Astyanax mexicanus: one gene and its partner. The protein of the gene in region 2 purifies or fractionates together with the protein of the main gene of each other region. This does not show direct contact. Links are inferred from orthologs where the notes say so. Each region holds a gene or a part of one and is shown on either strand. Other genes may lie near its edges. The genes, in order: nepro and npm3.

Region 1 (11,954 bases), on a different chromosome or scaffold from region 2:
ACATTGGAGCACGTGGGGATACCCAAAAGGAACCCTAGAGATACCCAAAGGGACACTTTGAGACCCCCAAACTAAAAACTGGAGATGGTACACCTACTGCTACATCTCACGGCAACTAGAACATTAATGTCTTACTCCATGAAATTTAATTCCATTTATAAAAATGGGCGCTTTCATGGCCGGATTCAGAAAGAAGTATTGTTTTTGTTTTTTTAGTTTAAAGTAAAAGCTAAAGGTGTGCATGTGAGGTCATAACATACTTTACAGGGTTAGTTAATTGATAGTCTAATACTGTGTGTGTGTGATGGTGTATTGTGATTTGGTTCAACTGGTCCTTGCTCATCACTGAAGGTTCAGATCCAGGCCTAGAAGTCGCTCCTCGCCACAGGGTGGTGGTATACAACCGACCTACCCTCAAACTTCACTGAGACTGAATGAAGATGGTGGCAGTTAGTGAGGTAGGAAAGAGTTACAGCGCGTGTTTATGAGTATTTTCTATAGTAGCACAGCTCCAGAACACCACCAGATTTAAACAGATAAACTGCTGTGTTTTACTGGGCTGAATTTATTGACCAGCTGTTTAGTGTTTCCCAACCAGGATCTGGAGAGCCCTATCCTGCACTGTTTACAGTTCTGTATGATAAACTGTTTTCTCTCAGAGTCACAATAAATAAATTTAATCTTGTTAAAATTAACCTGGTTTAAAAAAAACTTACTGTAGAGAAATGACAAGTAAATCTATGGAAGCCCATTTCCGCCACCTGAAGAAAAAAAACGTCCTCAACTAAGTCATAATTATGAGATAAAACTTTCTATCTCATAATTATGACTTTCTATCTCATAATTATGACTTTCTATCTCATAATTATGACTTAGTATCTCAAAATTATGACTTCTCTATCTCATAATTATGACTTACTATCCCATAATTATGACTTTAGGACGTTTTTTTTTCTTCAGGTGGCGGAAATGGGCTTCCATATAAATCAGTCATTTCACCTTAACATCTTCCCTGTATATACAGTAACAGTTACCAGTCAAAAGTTTCTAAACACATCTTTCATTGTGTTTTTTTTTTCTTTTTAGGTTTTTATACTTTGTAAATGTAGTATTGTAGACTATATTAAAGATCTACAGGATCACATGCAGAATCATTCTGTAAACAAAACAAAGTGTTAAACACACCAGGATATGTTTTATACTTTATATTCTTTTAAAAGAGTACCACATTTAGCTTTGAGAATAGATCTGCACACTGGTACATTGGTATTTTAATCTCAGTGTCTTCATGAGGGAGAGTCACTTGGAATAGTTTTCTTAGTCTTGAAGGAGTTCCTGGAGGTGCTGAACAATATATTTGCTGCTTTTCCTTTACACTGTGAAGCTTCAGCTCATCCCAAATCACCTCAAATCACCATCTCAGTTGATCAGGTTAAGATCAGGGGATTGTGGAGGTCTAACTTTTTTTTTTTTTTTTACTATTTACTGTGTAATTCCATATGTGTCCCTTAATTGTTTTCATGTCTTTCTATTAATCTACAATATAGAAAAGAAATTACAAAAAAAGAAAGAAAGAAAGAAAAACACTGAATGAGAAGGTGTGTCCAAACCTTTGACTTGGAGGATGTATTTCTTTGACTTTATTCTGTCTTTATTAAATGCAACATTTACAAGGAGCTGAGATTGTATTGTTACAGTGGTGGTGAAGATTTATAAGATGATGTCTAAATGTTTAATGTGTTGTTCACAAAGTCATTTTACAAATTGTTCTGGTTAAATATGACATTTCGGTTTTAAAACCATGCAAAACATATAGGGGCAAAAATAATCCTCGTAAAAATTTGCCACTAATTCACCTTCATCACTATTTTAAGATGTGTAGTTTTATAGGTGGGTTAGTTAATAAAATTGCTATATTTGCTTTGTAAACATAATATATATATCCAGGTTTGTGTCTTCACTAATATAAAGAAATTGAGTGATTATAAATCAAGCACAAACACGCTGTAATTCCTCTGTAATCTTTACTGTTTTGCTTCCTAATGGGAACTGTCTTATAATGATTACCATCAACAGCTACTTTAACAAAGGCCTTTAAGTTCCCATAAGGAAACGCATCATATCTGTCTATAACCAGTCAAAGGTCACATGTTTAACCCTTTGTTTTATTTACATTGTTATATCAACCCATCAAGAAAAGGAGCAATGACATAACAAACTTTTGTACTAGTGCTAGGAGGTTAATCAAATTAATTTGATTAATCAAACTACTGTATTAATGCACTTTTCAAAATGGGATAATCAATATTGTACATCTTTACATATAAAAGCTGACAGAGAGAGTTTCTGTCACAAACAGTAAATAGTAACAACCAATTAGGGCTGCAAACATTTTTCAATATAATTAACAATGTTGATTATTTGAATTTGTCAGCTACAAATTTAATTGTCGACTAATTGTTCATTTGTAACTATAACGCATTACACAAAGTGATGGGGACATAAGCTCAATGGGAGATGGGTAAATGGCTCACTCACACAGGTTACACTCAACTTAGTTTGTGTCCAAAACTCAACAGATATTTAATCCCTGAATATCAGTATTTTTCGCATTTAAACAACATCTAGACATTAAATTGCCTCTCAAGTCTCATGTTCAGCTGTTTCTATCGTTTTTAGATGTGGAGGACTTTGCAGAAATAGTCATTGACTAATCGAAAAAATAATCATCAGATTAGTCTACTACCAAAATAATCATTAGTTGCAGCTCTACAAACAATATTTATCACAATACAGGGTGTATAATTAAATATATCACAATATATTGTGAAAACATAAGCAGTGTGATATATTCTGATTGTTTAATATAAAATTATGGTGTCACTCTATTAACAAAATATACTAGATTAATCAAACTTTTTCTAATCAGTAAGATATGAATATATTATATTAGTTTTTATATTAGTAATAACAGTGTGGTATTCCTGGCAGACTAGAGCCTTTTTTACTTTATTACAGTAACTCATGGTTTTTAAAATAGTAGTTTTTAGTTACTGAGTTTTACCAAGCTTTTACTGCAGGAAATAAATGCTAGTGTAGTTCCAGATCCTGCGTTTCCATATATATATATATATATATATATATATATATATATATATATATATATATATATATATATATATATATATATATAGCCGTAACTTCATTTTTTTTTCTTTCTGTAGGAAAAAGTAAAAATTCCATTTGGAGCTAAGGTTCTAGATGGTATTCTGACAATTCCTGAGGTAAACAGCGTGAAGACAGGAGTTGTTCTCACACATGGAGCTGGAGGGGACATGAATCTGAAGGCCCTGCAGTCTCTGGCCAGCTGCACGGCCACCTCCGGGATCCTGTGTCTCCGGTTCACCTGTAAAGGTCTGAACCTCACCTACAGGGTCCGGGCATTCCAGGCAGCGGTAGTAAGTGGAGAACACAGTGCAGTGACAGTCATTAGCCTCGGGGTCATTGATGCTCAGCTTGCTTGGTTTTCTTTTTACAGGATTATCTGAAAACTCTGGAGAGATTCTCGCTGAGTCATGTGTTCCTGGCGGGTGAGTGATCTGTGCAGCCGCTAGAGCCTGCGGGGATAAATGTTTTACAGCAGGCGCATGTGATTTTAGTCACACATGGATAATGGATAATGGGTTGAAAAAAAAGAAGGTTGTCATAATCTTATGGTTTATTGCTGTATATCCTTTAAAGTACCTCAGGTTCTCTTATAAATGAACATTTTATTAAAAAGATCGGTACTGTAAATGTATGCCTATGTTGAGGGGTTTTGAAAGAAGAACTGTAATACATATGGTTCTCTAATAAGCATTTAGATTTCGTTTTCTAAATGTGCTCCACTGAAAATGTCTTTAAGGTTCTCTACAAAAGCTCAGCTTCAATTGTAAAGACCTTTTGGGAAACTTTAAGGAACCACTGAAAGAATCTTTAAGGAACCACTTTATGTTTTTCTGGGAAACATCTATTATGTATTCTAAAATGTATGCTTCTAAGAATGCTTGAGTTTTTAAAGAACCATTAATTAAAAGGATTTCTAAGGAACCACATTTTGTTCGCCAATAAATATTTTAAAGAGCCAAAACCTGAAATAATCAAAGAAATCAGCTTAAGGAACCACATTAAAAATGTCTTCCAGGTTCTATATAATGCTTCTACCAATGGTTCCTTAATGTGATTCTTCCATTAAAGAACCTTCCATTGAAGACTCACATTCAATAAACTCACATTTTTTTCAACTTTACATTAAAACAACACAAGGAAAAACAAAAGGAACGTGTCTGTGTTTTGTCAGGTCGTTCCATGGGTGCACGAGCTGCCGTGGCTTTGGGAAGACAGCTGAGTGCCGTGGACGAGGATGCTGTGCAAGGCCTGGTGTGTGTCTCCTTCCCTCTGCATCCTCCTGGACAAACTCATACACAGGTTAAGAGAAGTGAAGACCTCAGAGCGTTGTGTCACGTCCCGGTGCTATTCGTATCTGGAACTGCTGACAATATGTGTGAGCAGGTGAGTGTGCCTCATCGGTTTACCGGTTGTCCTTCCTTGGAGCACTTTGGATAGATCCTGACCACTGCATATCGTGAACACCCCTCAGTACTTGCCTGATGTTTTGGAGATGCTCTGAACCAGTTATGTAGACATCACATATTTGGTTTTGTCACAGGGCTTAGTATATTTTCACACCCATAACTTTTAGTCTAGTTAGTCTTGCACCATAGACAGCATAGAGAGTCTAGTAGTCTCTCACCGAGAAGCACACTACTCAAAAAGAAGCTTTTACAAAAACAGGTGTGACTATACTTTTGTTCTTGCTTGTCAGAAACTTCTGGAAAATGTTTTGAAGCAGATGAAGAGCCCCAGCTCTGTGCACTGGGTGGAGGAGGCCAATCACGGCCTGGCAGTAAAGGGAAGGAACGAGGAGTCTGTGCTGGAGGAGGTCAACTCCCAGATCATCACATGGATACAGAAGCATGTCTGAAGATGCTTTGTTATCAGGACTACTTGTTGGGTGTTTTGATACTCTTTATATTATACATCATAACTTTATACATGTATATATGGCAAAAGATGATTTGTCCAGTTTTTGTAAATAAAGCATTGTATCTGAGATGGGTCAGCCATTGTTTGCTTTGTTCAGTTCATGTTTGGCACTACAATAACATTGCTTCAGAGTGGACTACAGGACTGGACCTAGCAAACTCTCATCTTCAGCAGAAAAAGGATCCACACTTGACCCTTTTGGAAGGTTAATGACGTCTAGATCTGCTTCGAGTGGAGCAAATGTTTAACTCTGTCTTTGATTCCAACTTGTTTAAGACAAGCTGTGTGTGTGCATTTACACATCTGTGTCAGCAACAGGTGCAGTAGTTTAATGTATTTATTAGGAGGGATATCCACAAACATTTGGACATTCAGTGTATATTAGGAAACACTACATTTTGTTCAATTTCTTTAAAAAATATGGTTACAAATGAACTTTGTTTTGGAGAGTCATGTTATCTGCTGGTGTTGGTCCACTATGGTATATCAAGTCCAAAGTCAGTGCTGTGTCTACCAGCAGATTTTGCAGTAGTTCATGCTTCCCATGCTTCTACTGACAACTTTTATGGAGAAGCAGATTTCATTTTCTAGCAGAATTTGGCACACTGCCGACATTGCCAAAAGTACCAATTGGTCTTTTATTCAAAATATTTAAATTTTCAGATATTTGAGTTTTCATTGTCACTCTGTGTAATGTCTCTATATAATATGAGTTTCACATTTTTTTTTTAACTTTTTGTCTTTTATGCTCTATAGGTCCAGTCAATAACCAGAAATTGTATAAAGTACCAGAGCTTTTAAAACAATTCATGAACCATTGTAAAATATATAAATAAATATTGCAAACAATTCGTTGGTTAACAGCTAAAAGAAATAAACTGAGCTTTGGATATGGATTTTATAAAATGTCAATTTACAAAGCCTTTGTAGCAAAGCAGTATTGGAACAGATTGTGTTACTGCACTCTATACTCCAGCATTCACACTTTCATCATCATAACTATAAAAAGACACAGAAACATGGATAACCACTTCCAATCTGATCTTAAAAACAGTAAAACTAATAGAACATGAACATGCATTAAATTAAAAAGCAGTTACTGCAAATATTAGTAGAACACGTTCATTTCTCCATCCAATCATTTTTAGAAATGATATGGTAATGAAATGTAAATGCTAATTCAAAAGGCAGAAGGTTGAAGACATTATGTTGATTCAGCGTTAAAATTTCAACATTTGCACAACCATTTAACATTAAATGTTGATTCAACGTTGTTTCAACATTGAAACAACAACATACATTACGATAGACATCCCCCCCTTTAAATTTAGTGGGAAAACCGCGAACTTGGCAACTCTGGTTAGTTTGATAGGGGTGTTGAAGAGCTCTGTTGTACATTGATATTTATATGATGAAATTTGCTGTTTAAATAAAATATAATGCCTGTTTTATGTACAAAAAGTAAAATGTAGAATATAAAAATGTATAATGTATCATTTTAATAAGAAAGTCTGTGCTGTTGCCTATTCCTGAAGAAGTTTTTTCTTTAGGGGGATTCTAGTTTCGAGATCTGGCAACCCTGATGTCGTCACGCCTCTTCCCTGTTGTTACCTGTACAGAAACATGGCGGTGGATGTGTGGAATAAAGTGAATATTCCTCGGCCGAGTGTTGTTTCCACGTGTCGAATGGACTTCAGGGCTGAAACAGGTACTGTATATTTATATTTACACGGTCTTTAAAGGCTTTAGTTTAGCAGAGACTGGCCCGAACCCTCACAGTGCACGTGCTCGGGTGTTGTTTACGCTGCGCACGTGCACTGCAAGGCCAGGCTCGCGCTGAACTAAACGCAGAAGGGATTTGTGTGTAAAAGTAACGAGTGTTTTTAATCCTGATTCAGACAGAATAACAGAACGGGTAGTGTCTCACTGTGAAGATGCGCTGAAACTGCTGCGCAGTAAAGTTCTGCGGACGGAGATCCGCCTGCTGTATGAGATCCTGTACGTGGTGAACAACAGCCAGAGACAGCACAAACCCTTCAGAGCCGTTAAACAGGTCAGTAAACTTTATTATTTATGTGGCTTCATATTAAAGAAAATATGCAAAAATAAAGTTACTAAAATATACTGTAAAATATCAGGACTAGGAGAAATTGATCTGTGATTTCAGATATATCCCTTATAATACAGGTCTAAACCTAGAGTAAAATAACAATTATTATAATTTACAGGACCTTTATTTTGAAATGACACAAGTGATACAGTATTAAAAGTCATGTGTCCATGTGTGTTAATCTTATGTATGTAAATTATTATATCATATTTCTTTTTTATTTTAAATTAAAATATAAGTATTAGCCTTTTGTTTTGCATTCTACCCAATACATTAACTAATTTACTTACATACAACGTTGAAATAACGTTGATGTTATGGCAACGTTGTTTTAAGTTTATACGTTCTACCATAAAAAAAACTCTATGCCGTCATGACAAATGTACAGTTTTATTTTTATTCTCTCTCTCTGAATATACATCTCATAAAAGTAGGATCTGTAGCTACAACTAGGAACAAAAAACTACAAGTAGCTAAAACTAGAAAATCCTATGGTTAACAGAGTATTAACAGTAAACTTATCACTGTAGTAAAGCTACAGAATATAAAGCATCTGTGTGTGTGTCCGCACAATACTTATGTTGCTAAAGTAAGTAACAGCTTTGTTAATAATGGTGTGATTTGTTTGCTGCAGGTGGAACAATGCATAAACCGGCTAAACGAAATGAAACTGCAGGGGGCTCTACAAGACCTTCAGGAGCTGTGCCCCAACAAAATTCAGAGGTACAAAAGGTTTTAATAGGGAGCTTGTGCCCCTTTTTCGGTTTGAGCTGCTCCTGTGTGCCACATTGCATTGGTCAGTCATTCCAGACAAAGATATACATCATTTGTACTGGACACAGATTGAATTTGATGATTGATGAATGATGCCATACTGAGGATGTGATTATTACTCTTAAACGCGTCAGAGTGCAGTTTTAAGCAGTGATGAACAATAAACGATAACCACCATGTTTAGTGAACTTAGCTTTTATTTGAACTTTTATGTGATTTTATGTTTGACCAAGATTGAGGCACCAGACTGCAGTTTAGGGACTGTAGTAAAAATACTTAAGTATTATATAATAAGTAATGAATAAATCTGATTAATTTTCTCAAAATGTGACCAAATCAACTTATATTTATATTTTATTGTTGACAAAAGGGTGGTTTGGGTAGGACTGTTGTGAAATACAGATCTGGAAAAAAGTAAGAGACCAATTTTCTCTTTTTTTTTCTATTTATCTGTATATGTTTGAGTAAAATGAACATAATATTGTCGTTTAGAGCATTTATTAGCAGATGAGAAATGGCTGAAATAACAAAAAAAGATAATGCAAAGAAAACAAGTTTATATTCATACAACGCTTTAAGAGTTCAGAAATATTTGGTGGAATAACCCTGTTTTTAATCACAGTTTTCATGCATCTTGGCAAGTTCTCCTCCACCAATCTTACACAGTGCTTTTAGATAACTTTATGCCACTCCTGGTGCAAACATTTAAGCAGTTCAGCTTGATTTGATGGCTTGTGATCATCCATCCTTCTCTTGATTACAGAGGTTTTCAGTTTATAAAAATCAAAGAAACTCATAATTTTTAAGGGGTCTCTTATTTTTTTCCAGAGCTGTATTTGAGCCTAACTCGGTGACCAGTATTGTTCTGTCATGTGTTTTCTGTACAGGGATGTTGGGGTGGAAGTTGGAGAGTGCAGCGTGCCCAGTCAGCCCATGCTGGAGTGGTTTTGTCTCAAACTGCTGGGAGCTTCCAGTCTCCTGGCTCGAACCCTGGACCAGTGTATCAAAGCCTTCTCGTATCCTTCACTGCTTTTAGAGATAATGCAAAACAATTTACAAAAAAGATTAAATTGCATAAATAGCATGTAAACGTAGCCTTCATTCAGGATTACACATTTCTCACAAGAGGTTGTTGAACTTTTCATAAAACATCCATAAAACAATCATAAAACTACAGTCCTTGGCAGTAAAAGGTGTAAGTAATTTCGAACAGATAAAACGCAAGGGGACAACTTTATTACTGTTAGTGTTCTTTTTTTTACATTCAGAATTTGATGCATAGTCAGCATATACTCTGTGGACAAAAGAACTGGGATACCTACATAATACATCTATAGGAGCTTTTATTATATCGCTTTCTTAATCCATAGGCTTTCCTTTGCAGGTAGAACAGCTTTTTATACAAGATTATTTGAGCTGGGAATGATGTTAAACCTACACTGACAGAATTCCAATTAAATGTTAAGATAATTGTACAGTATTTCAAAACATTTCCAAAAAAAACATTTAAAAACCTTGTAGTTTCCCACAACTTGTTTGTCAGGTCTAAACATGTGTTTTTTGACGAATCTGCGACTAAATTAATGAGATACAAATGGATGCCTATTGTTTTTTTCCCCTTTACTACTATTGATGTGCAGTGTAGCCATCCTTAATTTTGAGTTGGTGAGTTAGTGAGGCTCTCTGACTTTACAAATAGGAAATCTGACTTGGAAATCAGAAATTCCACCATCCAAGATTTAAGTTTGAATAGAAAGCATCAAGTGGCTTTACTTGTGTTTATCATAAAACCTTGACTCTCTAACTGGACAGACTGACGAGGCAGCACCTACGGCTGGCTGAGTTCATTGTGTTGAACTTGGTCATTTTAAGCATGATCAGTCGACTCTGGTATGTTCAAAACTATTACTGTGTGGATTGATACACTAAAACAAGTTATTAATGCTCCATGCAAGACAATACAACTGTAGATTTATTGATTAATTCTAAATATTGTTAAAGATAAAGGGATTATTATTATTTTTGGTAACACATACAGTAACATACACACACACATACACATGGTTACAATAGATGTACATTAACAGAACTTACGACAGAATGTCTGAATTAATTATTAATGGGCACTGTCTCAGTTGTTTCATTTTATTAATATTTACTTTATCAAAATCATGTTAAAATTTGTGACATATTTTTTGGGGTGCTTTCCTTTTTGCCCTTCTTATTGTATATATAATGCTGCATAATATATTGTTTAGCATCGGCATTATCAGTGTGCACATGGGTTATAGTCACATCATGCAGTGTAACGTATGATTTTTGCAAAACAGAGAACTTGGTCAAAATCTAGGCTTAAATTTCATAGATGAAGACAAAAACCCAACAAAAAACACATGGGGAAAAAATATCTGAAAAAATGGGGGGGGGGGGATATCTGAATATCTGCAGCACTTTTTTAATATATATGAAAGATCCCAACATCACTACATGAAGTACACATGGTTTAGCGAATTAGATTTTAGAACCTCTTCTTTAGCCCACACCTCTTTTTCTTTAATGTTTTCCAGGGTGTTCTTTAGAGGTATCCTGAGAGCCCTCTTGCCCATATACAAGAGCACCATAGAGCTCCGTCAGCAGGTGGCCCAGTGTGTGCCGATGGCCTACCTGACCGATTACAACCTGCCTCAAGATCTGGAAAGCTTTCTAGGCACCTCCCATCGTGACCTGCTCAAGGTAGAGAGTACAACGTTAGCCCCCAAGACCTCTGCCCTCAACAAGCTCTTTCAAGGAGGAACAGAGGAGCAGGTGGAGGATGGAGGAGAAGAGGAAAGCCAGATGATGCAGATGCTGGCCAGAGAGGGACCGGGGAAGTCTAGCATGGATCTAGGGACGACCATTTTACGAGAAGGTCCATTTTACTCTGGTAGGTCTGCCTTGTCTGTCTTTTCACCACAGTTACACTTCTATACACTGATCATCAAAGAGGTGGTTTCATCCAGAATGGCATTTCAGATTGCAGTGTGAGACAAAAGGTTACCAGGGACAATAAATGATTAAACATTTAGACTGATATTGTCTACTCTTGAGCTGCACGTGAAGAAGTCAAGAGTAACATGTATGTAACATAACATGGCATCTGTCTCAGCATGAAGTTGTAGAGGTTCCTAATGGTGTTCTGCAATAATACATCCCATGCAACTTGACACACAGTACCTGCAGATGTTGCAGTTGGGAAGGTGTGTTGTTGGCATGTCCAATAGAATCCCACATACAGTACCAGTCAAAAGTTTGGATACACCTTTTCATTCAGTATTTCAATTTTTTTTTATTGATTTTTTCCCCCCCTACATTGTCAATAAATATTGAAATCATCCAGACTGTGAAGCAAAACATAAGGAATTATTTAATAACTTAAAAGTGTTAAACAAACCAAAATACTCTTTGAAGCATTTACATGCTCTTATCTGAGGTGCTGTTAACCTGTGCTTTCTGAGGCCAGTAACTCTGATGAACATATCCTGTGCAACAGAGGTGACTTTTGCTCTTCCTTTCCCGGGGCAGTCCTGATGTGAGCCAGTTTCATCAGAACTTTGAGTGTCTTTTTGATGGCACTTGAGGATACTTTTAAAGTTTTGGAATGTTTCTAATTGTCTAACCTTCATTTTTTTCAAGTCTTTTTTTTTTGCTTTCTTGACATAGTTCTTGCCATAATATGGATTAGAACATGACTCAAATAGGGCTATTTAATATGAATTTTAATAGTGGAGTTTTTATTGAATAATTACAGAATTTTCACTCTTCTTTCTTCTGCATAGCCTCTTCATCAGACATAAAATCCATGCTTCTGCGAACCCATGGAGTTTCCAAAGAGGTAAAAGGCTTATTCTGATAAAAAAAAAAAAAAACTTAACTTTCTGCTTACAATCCATTTAATTTCAAATTAAAGTTAAAATCACAAATTGTCCGCTTTATAGTGTGTAGCTGA
Region 2 (11,878 bases):
GACACAAGAGAAGATAAATAAGAAGCAAGAGACAATAAAACAGAATAGAAAATCAAGGGTTAATTATAGGAATGCTTATGTACAGCAATTGTTCTTGAGTGTGAAGATGTGAGGAAAGCAGCTTTTTTGCAGTCTGGTGGTTTTAATCCTCCTTTGGCTAGAGCACCTGTCTGAGGGGAGGAGGAGGAGGAGGTGAAACAGGGTGCATTTATTTTACATTGTTTGCAACATTTATTTGGACTGAAAAAGGGATTTTTTTAAATATAATAAAACATTGAAATTGAAATTGCAATCAAGGGCACCTTTTAAACATGTAAGATTTTTACAGACATCAGTCCATCCGGAAATATACTGACATGCCAAAAGTCTGACCAGGGATTCTTATCTCAGGGGGAAAGCCTAAAAGCTTGCCTGCATCTGTATATGTTATGAGGTGTTATCTTGTGAATTAGGTTGAACACTGGTAAACATGTTCATGACAAGGTGATTTGAATTATCCGAGTTTGAGTGAGGCCTGATTGTGGGTGCCAGATGAATTGGATATTCCATTTCTAAGGTTGTCTGGACCCACCTTACAGTGAGTGGTAATGATTGTGACCAGCAGTATCTGGCTAGAATTGCCTGTGTGAACAGAAAAGATATTCTGGCAGAAAACACATCCACGTTTAATGCAGGAGGACAAACACATATGTAACGCAGGTCAGTGCATTGTTCTTTACCTTCCATGAAGAATGGCAAACATATTAGGAGACAATATTAGCTTTTGTCCCATGATATGTTGCAAGTCAGGGTATACCATTACAAAACTATCTCAAATCTTTACTACGTCTTATGATTCTTTTTCAGTAGGTCTTGTGATCACAAAGAGATACTAGTCAGCATGGTGGTCAGTGTTTAACATTACTCACACGACAACACTACACAACTTATAGAGTTTAAACACTTTATGAGGATTTTTCATATTGCCATCCCATGACTTTAAGCATGTTCACGTATATCATGCTTCAATTGTCTAACATTTAACAAAGATGTCTGGCATTTTGAGCAACTGTGAGCTCTTCTGTTGGAACCCCTTCACTTAGATTAGAACCTCACCATCTGTCTTTATTTTGAGTTAAAACAAGCAGAGAATCAGTTTATCTTTTTAAGAATTCCGAGGCAGTTTCAAATGGCCAAAGATCTAACAGTACTATTCCAGAACAACAATCGTCCAAGAATTTCCAAGCTGCACAAATAATGGGTTGCTCCAAGACTGGTAAACAGAGAGAGATTTATTCATAAAATCTATAAATGTAAAATAAAAAAAAGAAATAATACAATAAAAATGCTCCATTCAAAACCCATCCTCCACATCAGCCTTTCAAAAGAACTAAAAACTAAGCCATGCATGCACAACTGCAGAAATCACTGCTGGTGACTCCATTTAAGGCAAAAACAGAGTGCCCGACTATAAAAGATACAATAAGAAGTTTTTTTCCTATTTAAACTTGTAAAGTGAGTAATTACAAAACAGTAGCACAGGTGGAATGTACCATGGTGAACAGAGTATTGTGCACCTTGGTTGGTGACTAGTGGTGAACCAAAAAATACACAAAACATTACTTTTAACATGACAGTCCCTCAAAAAAGTAAACAAATACACAATGCAGTAAAATCGTATTCCAAAATATTTTATGCACAAATGTAGAATTTGTTGTGGCTGTTCTTTTTTTGGGAAAAAACAAGGCAAAGAATTAAACTGAATTTATAAAGCATGCTAGGATAAGGAATCTCTACTGTATACTAAACTTGAGAACTTTAATTAGTGACTCCAAACACAAACATGGCAATAACGATATTTTGAAACTAAACTCCAAAATATTACATAATAAAAATATTTTTGACCAAAGGAATCACAGCTGGTTATAATGAGTCTCAATTTCCAATATTTGTCAAAACTGACAAAAAGATCCAAGCCTCAGATTTCGGTTCTGCTGTCCATTGTAACTGTGAGTGGAAACAGTTTATTGAATAGCATGTTCTATAAAACTTCATGATCTTCATAAAAGGTGAATCTACAGTTTCTGTTTCTTCTTGGCTGGCTTAATAGAGGGCATTTCCTCCACAGAATCCTCATCTTCATCAGACGCTTCCGCCTCCTCATCATTTTCTGAAGCTAAGAAAGATGAGAGATTACATTGTTAAAACAGTGCTTGTTTACTTGCCAGAGCTATTTATTTCACACTGTGTTATTTTCTAAATGTATCCATTATCTATTTAAGAGGAATACATTTCCTGTTTTGTAACTGTGATATTTGAAATCTAAAAGAAAGGAAGGCCCATTTCTCTTTTGTACCCCTACCCCTTGTTTTCGAGTTAACCCTTTAGAACAGAGTTTCAAGGGGAAGGGGGGAAATCCTCCCCCTAAGAATTGGGACAACTCTTCAAGTACCCAATACAGATATATCAAAGGGAGGGAAAAAGTTCAGCAACTTAGCTGCTAGTTAACTTATTGTGTGTATATCCTCAGAAAGTGGACAGGTGGTGCAGCAATTAATTATTATTGCCCATTCCTTAATTCCTCTGTTAATAAGCTTTTATTAACTGAGCTGAAATTAGCTTTTATTAACTTTTTTTTTAAACCCCATTTCACCTTCAATGCTGCAGCCTCTGCCATCTGTTGCACCATTTAAGGTGGAACAGGAACATTAGCTAGCAAGCTACTGAGATAAATATTAAAACTACACACTAAAACTACAATAATATAATGGTTATCATAATTTTTAACAAATAAAATACTTAAATTTGTGTTTCTTTGGTCTCTTGTGCTGCCATCTTACCAGCAATTCTCAGCCCCTTTGTTTGAAGTGTGCCTCCAAACATCTAGAAAAAAACTCAGTTTGAAGGGTCATGCAGCCCCAACACTTCCCTCTACCACTCTAACATAACAAGAATCGGGACACCCTAACCCAGAGATGCACATGCAAAGCTAAGTGGTAATGGAATGGAAATGGAATGGGCCTCAAGTGTCCCCCACCCCCCTTCACTCACCTACAAGGTGCAGTCCACTAACAGTCACAGGCCCACTTCCAGATTTTAGGCGAAGTGTCACAGGAGCCATCAACTCAAATTCTCCCAAGCTAACCTGAAAGAAATATATAGTATAAATAGCGTAAGTATCAAAACATCAAAAACCTAAGACATTCTACACTTTACAGAAGTACAAAAAGATTTTTTAAAAAGTTGCTCCATATGGGTAAAAATGTATTCATTAAATCTGTTTTTGTCATTTCAGTGATTTAAATAATCCAACAGCACAGAAGAACAGAAGACCACCTTCAGGAAAAGTGAGTCACATTTACTGATACTCATACAGTACATTATGAGTAATAACATGACTTTATTCAGAGTTTTTTTGCTGGAAGATAGAGTCATATGAATGAGTGGCATGGTCAGTTACTTTGTATTTGCTATACAACAAGATATTTTGGTTTCTAAAATAAACCTAAAAAACTGAACATGACTACGTTCACACTAGAAGCCTCATAAACCAATTAGATTCATTTGCCTAAATTAATTTTGGATCTTGACAGTTGTATTTAAATACACATGTGTATTTAAAAAAAGGCATAGCAATGAGAGCACATAGTTACTAATGCTGCCACTGTTGGGCCCAAGAGCAAGACCTAGTCAATCAAGAGCTGATTACAGGAGGACTTTGTCTTTGTCTGTAGTCTTGGCTGAGCTAATCTCTCCATGATACCAAGAACAAAACTGGCTATGGTAACATGCAAATAATAACTAAAACTATGAATAAGAGCTGGGTGACCTATTGAGTTTTAAAGAAAGACATTTTTATACAAGATATAGAATAAGACTAGATTGATTCAATCGATATAGATTACGCTGCATTCCAACTAGATCCTCTCTTGTCTCTTGAAAACAAACAAGCTCATTCAGACAGCATGCTTTTAATAAAACAGAGTGATGGCTGAACCTGACTTTTTAGTGAAACAGCAAAAGTGTGAAGCTTCACTACTGAACCAAACACCAAGTAGACACACCCACTCTATCCTGAACTGAGGGCTCACCAATCAGGTCCTTCACATAAGAGAATAAATCTGACACAGATTCAGTCCAGATTTTAAGTAAATGAAAAAATAACCTCAAACTGTTGTTTTTATTTACCTATTTAAGCATTTTATATGCACACTGCATTGTGTGTCCCTTATTTTTAGGCTACATTAAGTGAAAAAAATTAAAGAGCTGCTAGAACTTTTTTACAGGATGTGTCACTAAATGATAAAAGTGGCTGTGTAAAATCTGGAACACATAGCTTTGTTATCACTAATTGTCTTTGTCAATACCTTAAGTAAGTAAAAAAATGATATATATATATATATATATATATATATATATATATATATATATATATATATATATATTCAGCAATATACAATGTATGTATTAAGCATCAAAGCCCTTCATGATCCCCTCTGCACCATCAGGTTCTCAGATATCAGGCTACTCACTTTCCACTATGCTAGCTTCTCAACTATGATTACAATTTTTGTAACAATAATAACAAATGTTCATAATAATAATAATAATCATATCGTCATCGACAACTGTTGTTGCTATTATTGTAATTATTATTAATATTATTTTTACTACTACAACTACTATTATTATTAGAGAAGCTACCTGTATCCCAGATTTGTACAGCTCTAGATTAAAAAAAAAAAAATCAAAGAAAACAAAACAAATGAAATGAACTAAGAGGTGCTGATTTTTTTTTTTTATAAACTTAAATAGTGAAATGTAAAATGATTAAGAAACTCTTTACCATGGGAAGACAGGATATGTGGAGATTTGCTACAGGCACTGATATTTTCTTTCCTTGATGGTTCATAGCAGTGACTTCCACCACGTTATTCTCCTCCTTAGCTCCCTCACCGAGGCAGATCTAGAGGAGTTTACACATAAAGTGAGAACATCTGAACACACAGAGTTACCAACTAACCAACTTACTGCTCCTAAACTGAATTTTAAACTAAAGTTATTACAAACCGTCCTGAGCTCGAGAAAATGCTCCAGGTCCTCCTCCTCATCCCCTTGAAAAGTGTAGAACGGTACTTCAGAGGATAATTCACAGCCTTCAGGACAAACAGAAACATTTATTACTTAGATTTATAATAAAGTAGGCATTTTACGTTTTAGTAATGTTGCATTGATTTAGCGTAGCTAACCTGTCTAGGTTATATATGCTGAGCCAAACTAGGTGCCATGTAACTTTAACCGGCCGTGTAACATAATGGCCACTGTATCGCGCTATGCTGAAGTATTTATACTCTTCCAGTAAAAAAAACTAAATTTTTATTCCTCTTCTCCACCATTAAAGTAGAGCCATCAACAGCTAAAATGTTTTAGCAGTATTGTTTGCAAGAGGCTTTTTTCCAGCCCGCACTGAATGAATGTGTGAATTTCAGTCCAGCTGCTTTAAGCGCAACATTCCTCCACGTGTGTTAGCCAGAAAGCTAACGCTTAGGAAATACTGTCTGTAAACAACAGAAACTCGGCTTACTAAAAACATAGCTCTCTAGCTGCGCGCGGGCCCCGGCGCCGCCGTCTGAGCTTTCGTCCTCTAAAAACGACATTTCCCCACAATATTCCGAGAAAACGCTGAACTGAGACTGAATTATGAGCAGCACAGACAGAGACAGAGAGGCTTCAAAACATGTGACGAGCTACACTAGACACGGCGCAGGGGTGATGACGTCACAGACAACAAGCTTTTCGTGATATTTTAGTTTCTTTTATTTTTTTCTAAATGGGTAAGTCGTTCTGTAAACCTTTAAGGACTTTTATTTTGTCAGCCATTCATGTTTTGTTTTTTATGTATATCTTTTAATAGTTTTATTACAGCTTCAAAAACAATCTTGATTTTTGATCTTTTGATCTATTGAAGCAATTCCAAATCAGGTCAGAGTCACTAAGAATAAAACAATAAACAATGCACAAGTCTGAATTTTTACAGAACAATTCTACTTTATTTCTATGTAATGGTTGTTAATTATATCAAAAAGATATTTTGATATATTAAAGCCATTCCCCACCAGGTCTGAAATCATGTCAGAATCACTGATAATAAAACCAAAACATGTCTGATTTTTTACAGAACAATTCTATTTTATGGTTTGTTAATTATATAAAAATGATCTTGTGAAATATTAAAGCCATTCCCCACTAGGTCTGAAATCAGGTCACTAATTATAAAAAATAATAATAGACAAGTCGTAAGTACATAACAATTAACTTTATTTCCTTTTAAATCCTACTTTATTTTTATTTTATAATTTGTCAAATATTTAAATAAATGACAAAATGTAAAAATCTGAAATCAGGTTAGAGCCACTAACAATAAAACTATTAACCAATAAACTAGTCTGTAATTTTTTATAGAACAATTAATTTTCTGTCCTATTAAATGATAAAATTTCTATTTTATTGTTTGTTAATTATACCAAAATTACTAATCACTAATAAGTCAATAATAATAAAACAATACAAAAGTATGTAATTACAGAACAATATTTGTTTCCCTTTTAAACTCTTTAAACTTTATTTCTATTTTATGGTTTGGCAATTATGTATGTATATTTATGTAATTTGGGTCACGACATGCTAGTCTTGGCCACACATATAAACAGAGAAATGAAGTACGGTCACAATTTATCTTTTGTGTGTTAAATATTTGTCCAATTTATTTCTAATTTTAATCAATTTTCTCTTCAATTTGAAAGGCAAATCACCCAGCCCAATGCCCAATTCCATTTTACCGCCTGGTGTCCTGATTCTTGTTAGGCTGGGTAGGTAGGGGGAAGTGTTAGAGCAACATGATCCTTCAAACAGAGTCTTTTCAGAGGCACACTCTAAACTGAGGGTTGTGAGAATCACTAGCAAGATGGCGGCACAAGCGACCAAAGAAACCCACAAATGTATTTTTCTTGTCATAAATGACAATAACTTATATATTATTGTAGTGTCCTTTGTAGTTTCAGCGTTTTATGGCCATTTTCTTAATAAGCATAAGAAATGGCTAGTAGTTCATTTTAGTAGCTTTACTGTTCCAGCTTAAATGGTCAATCAGAGGGAAGAGTCTGTCGTCCTACTTTTGTGGACAGATTTGAAGAAGTCTGTCCTTTTAGTTTCAACTGCATCATTAATTAAAAGCAACTCACCGTGTTGGAAATAGTAGCTGCTACTAGTTAATAAAATAGATAAATAGAAGTAACTACAAACCTAGTGCTAGTGTTGATTTGGTGAATTATTTCTAAATAATGTGTATATATGAAAAGTATGAACTATTTAAAATATTTAATATATATCTATAAATATATATATATATTTGGAGTAGCGTTAGGCTCAGTGTGGGCAAACCAGATCTGGCATATTGAATTCCTATTTTCACTAAAGGGCTTGATCTGCCTGGAAAAAGCAGCATGCCATAGTGCACTGACAGCAATCAGTGTAATTTCAGCACTGCAAACAGTCTAAATTCTGAATAAAAGGACCAGCAATTAATGCGTGAAAGGTTACATAGACATCTGTGGATATCTATTTTAATGAATGCATTGAGCAATATTAAGTTGCTAGCAACCTCTGCAGACACCGATGTGCAAAGACACATGTAGTGCTCATCTACTATCTGTAAAGAGAGGTTTTGCAAATATAACTTTGGGAGACTATGGGTATAGAGCCTTCAGCATTGAGTTGTAGAGCTGTGATTAAGTGGGGTAGTAATCATCAAGCACCCTGCCCTTGTTAACCTTATTATTGCTGAATGCCTTCAAGTATTTACAACAATGCTTCATAGTCTCCTAAAACTTTAGATAGAGATAGTTAATCCAAAATAGAAGGGTAACTTAGCAATAGAAACACAAATCATAATTAATTTGGCTGAAGTTATAGAAGAAAAACAGCAACAAAGAAAATCTATTTAACATACTTTATTGTAATTAACCATTTTAATTACATACAAACCTTACAGAAAGTATAATAACTACATTACATACATTATCATAATTACAACCCAAAGTACAGAAATGTTTTTAAATTGTTAATTGTATTTAGACTCTCAAAAAATGAAGCCCTTTCTACTTGAATATGATGTCAACTTCCAGAACAAAATAGCAGGCATGGTGAAATAAAAACCATAAGAAATCATGGCCGTGCAAGGTCAAGCTCCCCATGGTTGGCCAAAAGAGAACAAGTGGAGGGAAAAATACCTTTTCGTTCCTAGAGTTTTTTTTTATTATTGAAGGCTGAAAACGATGTGCATTTGTCATTGCAGTTGCTAGAGACTACAAAAACTCTTATTTGGGAGATCTTTACATATTTGGAGCATATTTGTGCCAAAATGTCCAATTTATGCCAATGAGTATTTAGACTAGTTATCTGTCCATGATCTGTTGGTAAACGAGTTTATACCAGTTAAAACAAAAAAAAGATGAGCTGACACCTACTTTAACCTTAGAAAAATATGTAAAAATTTTAGGGCATGGAAACAAAAACACTGCCATCTCAGTGTCAATATATTTTCTTGTCAAATATTGCTTTACTGTCATTATACATTAGGACTTGCCTTGCCATGGTCAGATATCTTGGTGGACATTCTCATGACAAAAATTAAAAACCTCCAGCCAAAAACTTCAAATGTATGAACGGTTATCTAACCATGGTTTATCTCCACAAAATATAATGAACACAAACTCGAAGACGTGTGGAACAGATCAGATCTCAATATCTCAAAGGGGTTGCAGGGAAGGGTGGCGGAGCCTCGAAAGAAGGCCACAGACAGGAAGGCATCGCTGTACAAATCACAAAAATGTATCATCAAGATACACATGCTACTAGCTTATGCACAAAAGTAATATCCATGCAATTTTAAGGACAAGGGTCTCTCCTCTCCACTGTTGTTCCCTTACAGTTTCAGGTTCCTTGTATACTTTTTCTTCAAGCCATCATGCCACACAATAAAATCCTTCTTCGAGAACAAAGACACACCCAATCTGTTAAATTGCTGAGTTCACTCCACTGTTTTGTTATCATTTTGTATCTGGAGAACTGCAAAACATCAACAAAAAGCAGTGGTTCAGCCTGCATAATGATCTACCACTGGATAGGCATTAAAGCACAGGAGCGGAGAGGCAAAATGAATGTAGATAAACTTATTTGTTCTTAAGTTATTGTAGCTTTAGGCTGTTGATTGTGTCTAAGTCCACTCACTGAATTTTGCAGTGTACCGAATGTGAGTGACTGCCTACCAGCTGCATTTGAGAGGTGTAATGGGCTAAAATGACACCTGGCCAGCTCAAGCTGTCTTGCAGACCAGAGGAGGGTCTCATTGAAAAGGCAATACAAGCACTCACACATATTCTTGCACGCCACCTCTGATTGGCAAAAGCACAATATCTAAGAGAAGCACCTTATATTATACAAGTGTCTCCAGCAGTTTCTGTAAAAAAACACTTTGCAGAATAAAGCTAGAACAGCAGCCTGCAATGGGTGCAACAAAGATTTACAAAATGGATCACTGATTGTTACTTGAACATGACTGAAATGCACTCTGAGCCTTCTACACAGACCACTGCAGCTTTGTACAAGTTCTTCCAAAATTCTTCAAAAGTCTTCCAACCCTTCACAAGCTCCTCCCCATTATGATGACATCTTTTGGAAAGCCCTCCATTTTGGCCACTTCAAAGCAGCCAAGTTTGCCATAAAAGTCCAACATCCGTTTGTCAATTTGCCGGACCTCACAGAAGGCACCATGGGAGCCTAACACAGAAAAGTGCAGTAAAATTATCAGGAGAACAAAGTCATTCAAACAAGTGATAATAGATTTTAAACTTCTATAATAGCTTTAAGGCTATTAATCTTTCTGAACAATATCAGCTTTTTTAAAATTTAGAAATCATACCAGATCACTACTGTCTTTTACTGTATTTGTCTAGTCTACAGGGGAGAAGGGCACATATATAAAACTGAAAAGGTTCAGCTTAGTTTAAGCTTAAATCACCTTTTCTTTTAATTTTTGTAATCAGAAAATTGTTTTCTAAATTATGCAACCAGTTCAGTTTTGTCCCTAAAGCTATACTTGTTAAACTTGCTACATACTAGTGCATCTCAAAAAATTAGAATATCATTTAAATGTTGTATTCGATATAACACAGTGAACCAACACCAGCACAAACCATTGTAGAAACATCACACTAGACCTCAAACAGCTTGAGACTGGACTGTGTCTTCCTTCAGACTCTGGTCCCTTGATTTCCAAACAAAATTAAAATTTACTGACGATCAGTGATGGTTTGGAGAGTCATGTGATCTGCTGGTGTTGATCCACTGTGTTATATCAAGTCCAAAGTCAGTGCAGTGTTTTCCCAAAAACACAGCACTTCATGCTTCCCTCTGCTGAAAACTTTTATGGAGATGCGGAATTCATTTTCCAGCAGGACTTGGCACACTGCCCACACAGCCAAAAGTATAATATTTTCTATTTTTTTAGATGCAATAGTATATGTATGTTTGTGAATCTGTGACAAAAATAGAATCCTGCACATACCGTTGGCTTTTAAAGACGAGAGGAGACAACCCATCATGCTTTTGGCTACACTGGGGTCAGTGACTTTTGTTTGAATGTCCACCTTTATGAGGGAGGGGAAATTACTGAGGAATGATTCAGGCAAAACCTCCTCCTCTTCATGGAAGCTTAGCATCATCTTCTGCAGAGGGAAGGGGTCATACATTTTAGAAGACAAACGACTGGTCAGACATTTTAGAAGACTGGATAAATAATGAAGACATGAATATAAAGGAGTGAATCCTAATGAAGACATGAATATAGAGGAGTGAATCCTACCTCTGCCTCAGACAGGTCCTTCTCTAAGTCAGGTTTGTTATATTTTTCTTGCATGAATGGAATCCAGCTCATTTTGCACTTCGTTACAAAGGGCTGAACATCAACAGTGCCCAGGGCATAGCCACAGATTCCATCCTCATCTTCCAAGACGAAGCCATAGTCTGGGCTGAGTGTCAGAAACCCTCCTACTAACCTACAGGAGACAGTGACTATGTAAGGCACTGCAGAACTCATACCATGTTAAACACAGTGGGGGAGTACAGTAAATGTTATCTAGGCACACTGCTTTCCCACCCTAAAGCCGGTACACAGATCTCTACTCACAGGTGGCAACACTGCTGAGTTACAAACACTAATCAATGTAAAAATCTCACTATGTCTCCAATGGTACTCAATCACATCAAATTAGCTTACATTTAGTGGAGAAAAAGAGCAGTTTCACAGACTGGCATTGAGTCTAGTCTTGGACTACACAGCATTTTGAATGGAGTTCTCCCACTAAAAGGAACATTTGTCAAGGACTAGGCTTAATCACTGTCCAGAAATCTAGCCATAAGTGTCTCATGCATATTAGAAGTGCTGCAACTTTCTACACAGATTATACAATGTGTGCAATGCAGGAAGAGTCTAGTTATGGCTGTATCCGAATATTTTCAGGCATACAGCATCATTATTTTATAGTGGTCATATAACGCACTTTAAACTATCCACATTCATTTTGGTACCTGTCTCCAATCAGGTCTGGCTCCTGGTCAGAGAAAGGAAGGTCATTACATCCCTCTGTATACATTTCTTTGCAAATCTTGTAGACAGCAGTCTAAAAAAACAGACACAATACAATCACACATTCAACAAGGCAGAGAAAGAGAGAAATGGCATGTGGAAGAACCCTTATTTGCTTTCATTTTAGATCATGGCATCTGAAGGGTAACAAGTGGACCAAACAGCTGATTCAGCAGAATGGATCCCATTTGCTGC

Evidence for each region.
Region 1: the proteins of npm3 (region 2) and nepro purify together in Homo sapiens (affinity purification with mass spectrometry; 4 studies listed by BioGRID and IntAct, with this or other methods). This does not show direct contact. The link is inferred for Astyanax mexicanus from reciprocal best matches to the Homo sapiens genes NPM3 and RMP64.

Annotation. Positions count from the first base shown.
Region 1 is NC_064418.1:10,449,650-10,461,603, reverse strand, and holds the start of nepro (nucleolus and neural progenitor protein), read left to right. Parts: upstream 1-6,510; 5' UTR 6,511-6,708; coding exon 6,709-6,793; intron 6,794-6,983; coding exon 6,984-7,138; intron 7,139-7,829; coding exon 7,830-7,918; intron 7,919-8,856; coding exon 8,857-8,985; intron 8,986-9,781; coding exon 9,782-9,859; intron 9,860-10,536; coding exon 10,537-10,892; intron 10,893-11,784; coding exon 11,785-11,840; intron 11,841-11,943; coding exon 11,944-11,954. Other genes in the region: tex30 (testis-expressed protein 30), read left to right, coding at 435-458, 3,225-3,458, 3,539-3,590, 4,340-4,551, 4,865-5,023. UniProt on the Homo sapiens protein: May play a role in cortex development as part of the Notch signaling pathway. Downstream of Notch may repress the expression of proneural genes and inhibit neuronal differentiation thereby maintaining neural progenitors.
Region 2 is NC_064414.1:23,213,356-23,225,233, forward strand, and holds npm3 (nucleoplasmin-3), read right to left. Parts: upstream 5,764-11,878; 5' UTR 5,637-5,763; coding exon 5,564-5,636; intron 5,136-5,563; coding exon 5,050-5,135; intron 4,946-5,049; coding exon 4,826-4,945; intron 3,125-4,825; coding exon 3,031-3,124; intron 2,156-3,030; coding exon 2,055-2,155; 3' UTR 1,254-2,054; downstream 1-1,253. Other genes in the region: oga (protein O-GlcNAcase), read right to left, coding at 9,680-9,816, 10,604-10,763, 10,901-11,093, 11,626-11,717. UniProt on the Homo sapiens protein: Plays a role in the regulation of diverse cellular processes such as ribosome biogenesis, chromatin remodeling or protein chaperoning. Modulates the histone chaperone function and the RNA-binding activity of nucleolar phosphoprotein B23/NPM.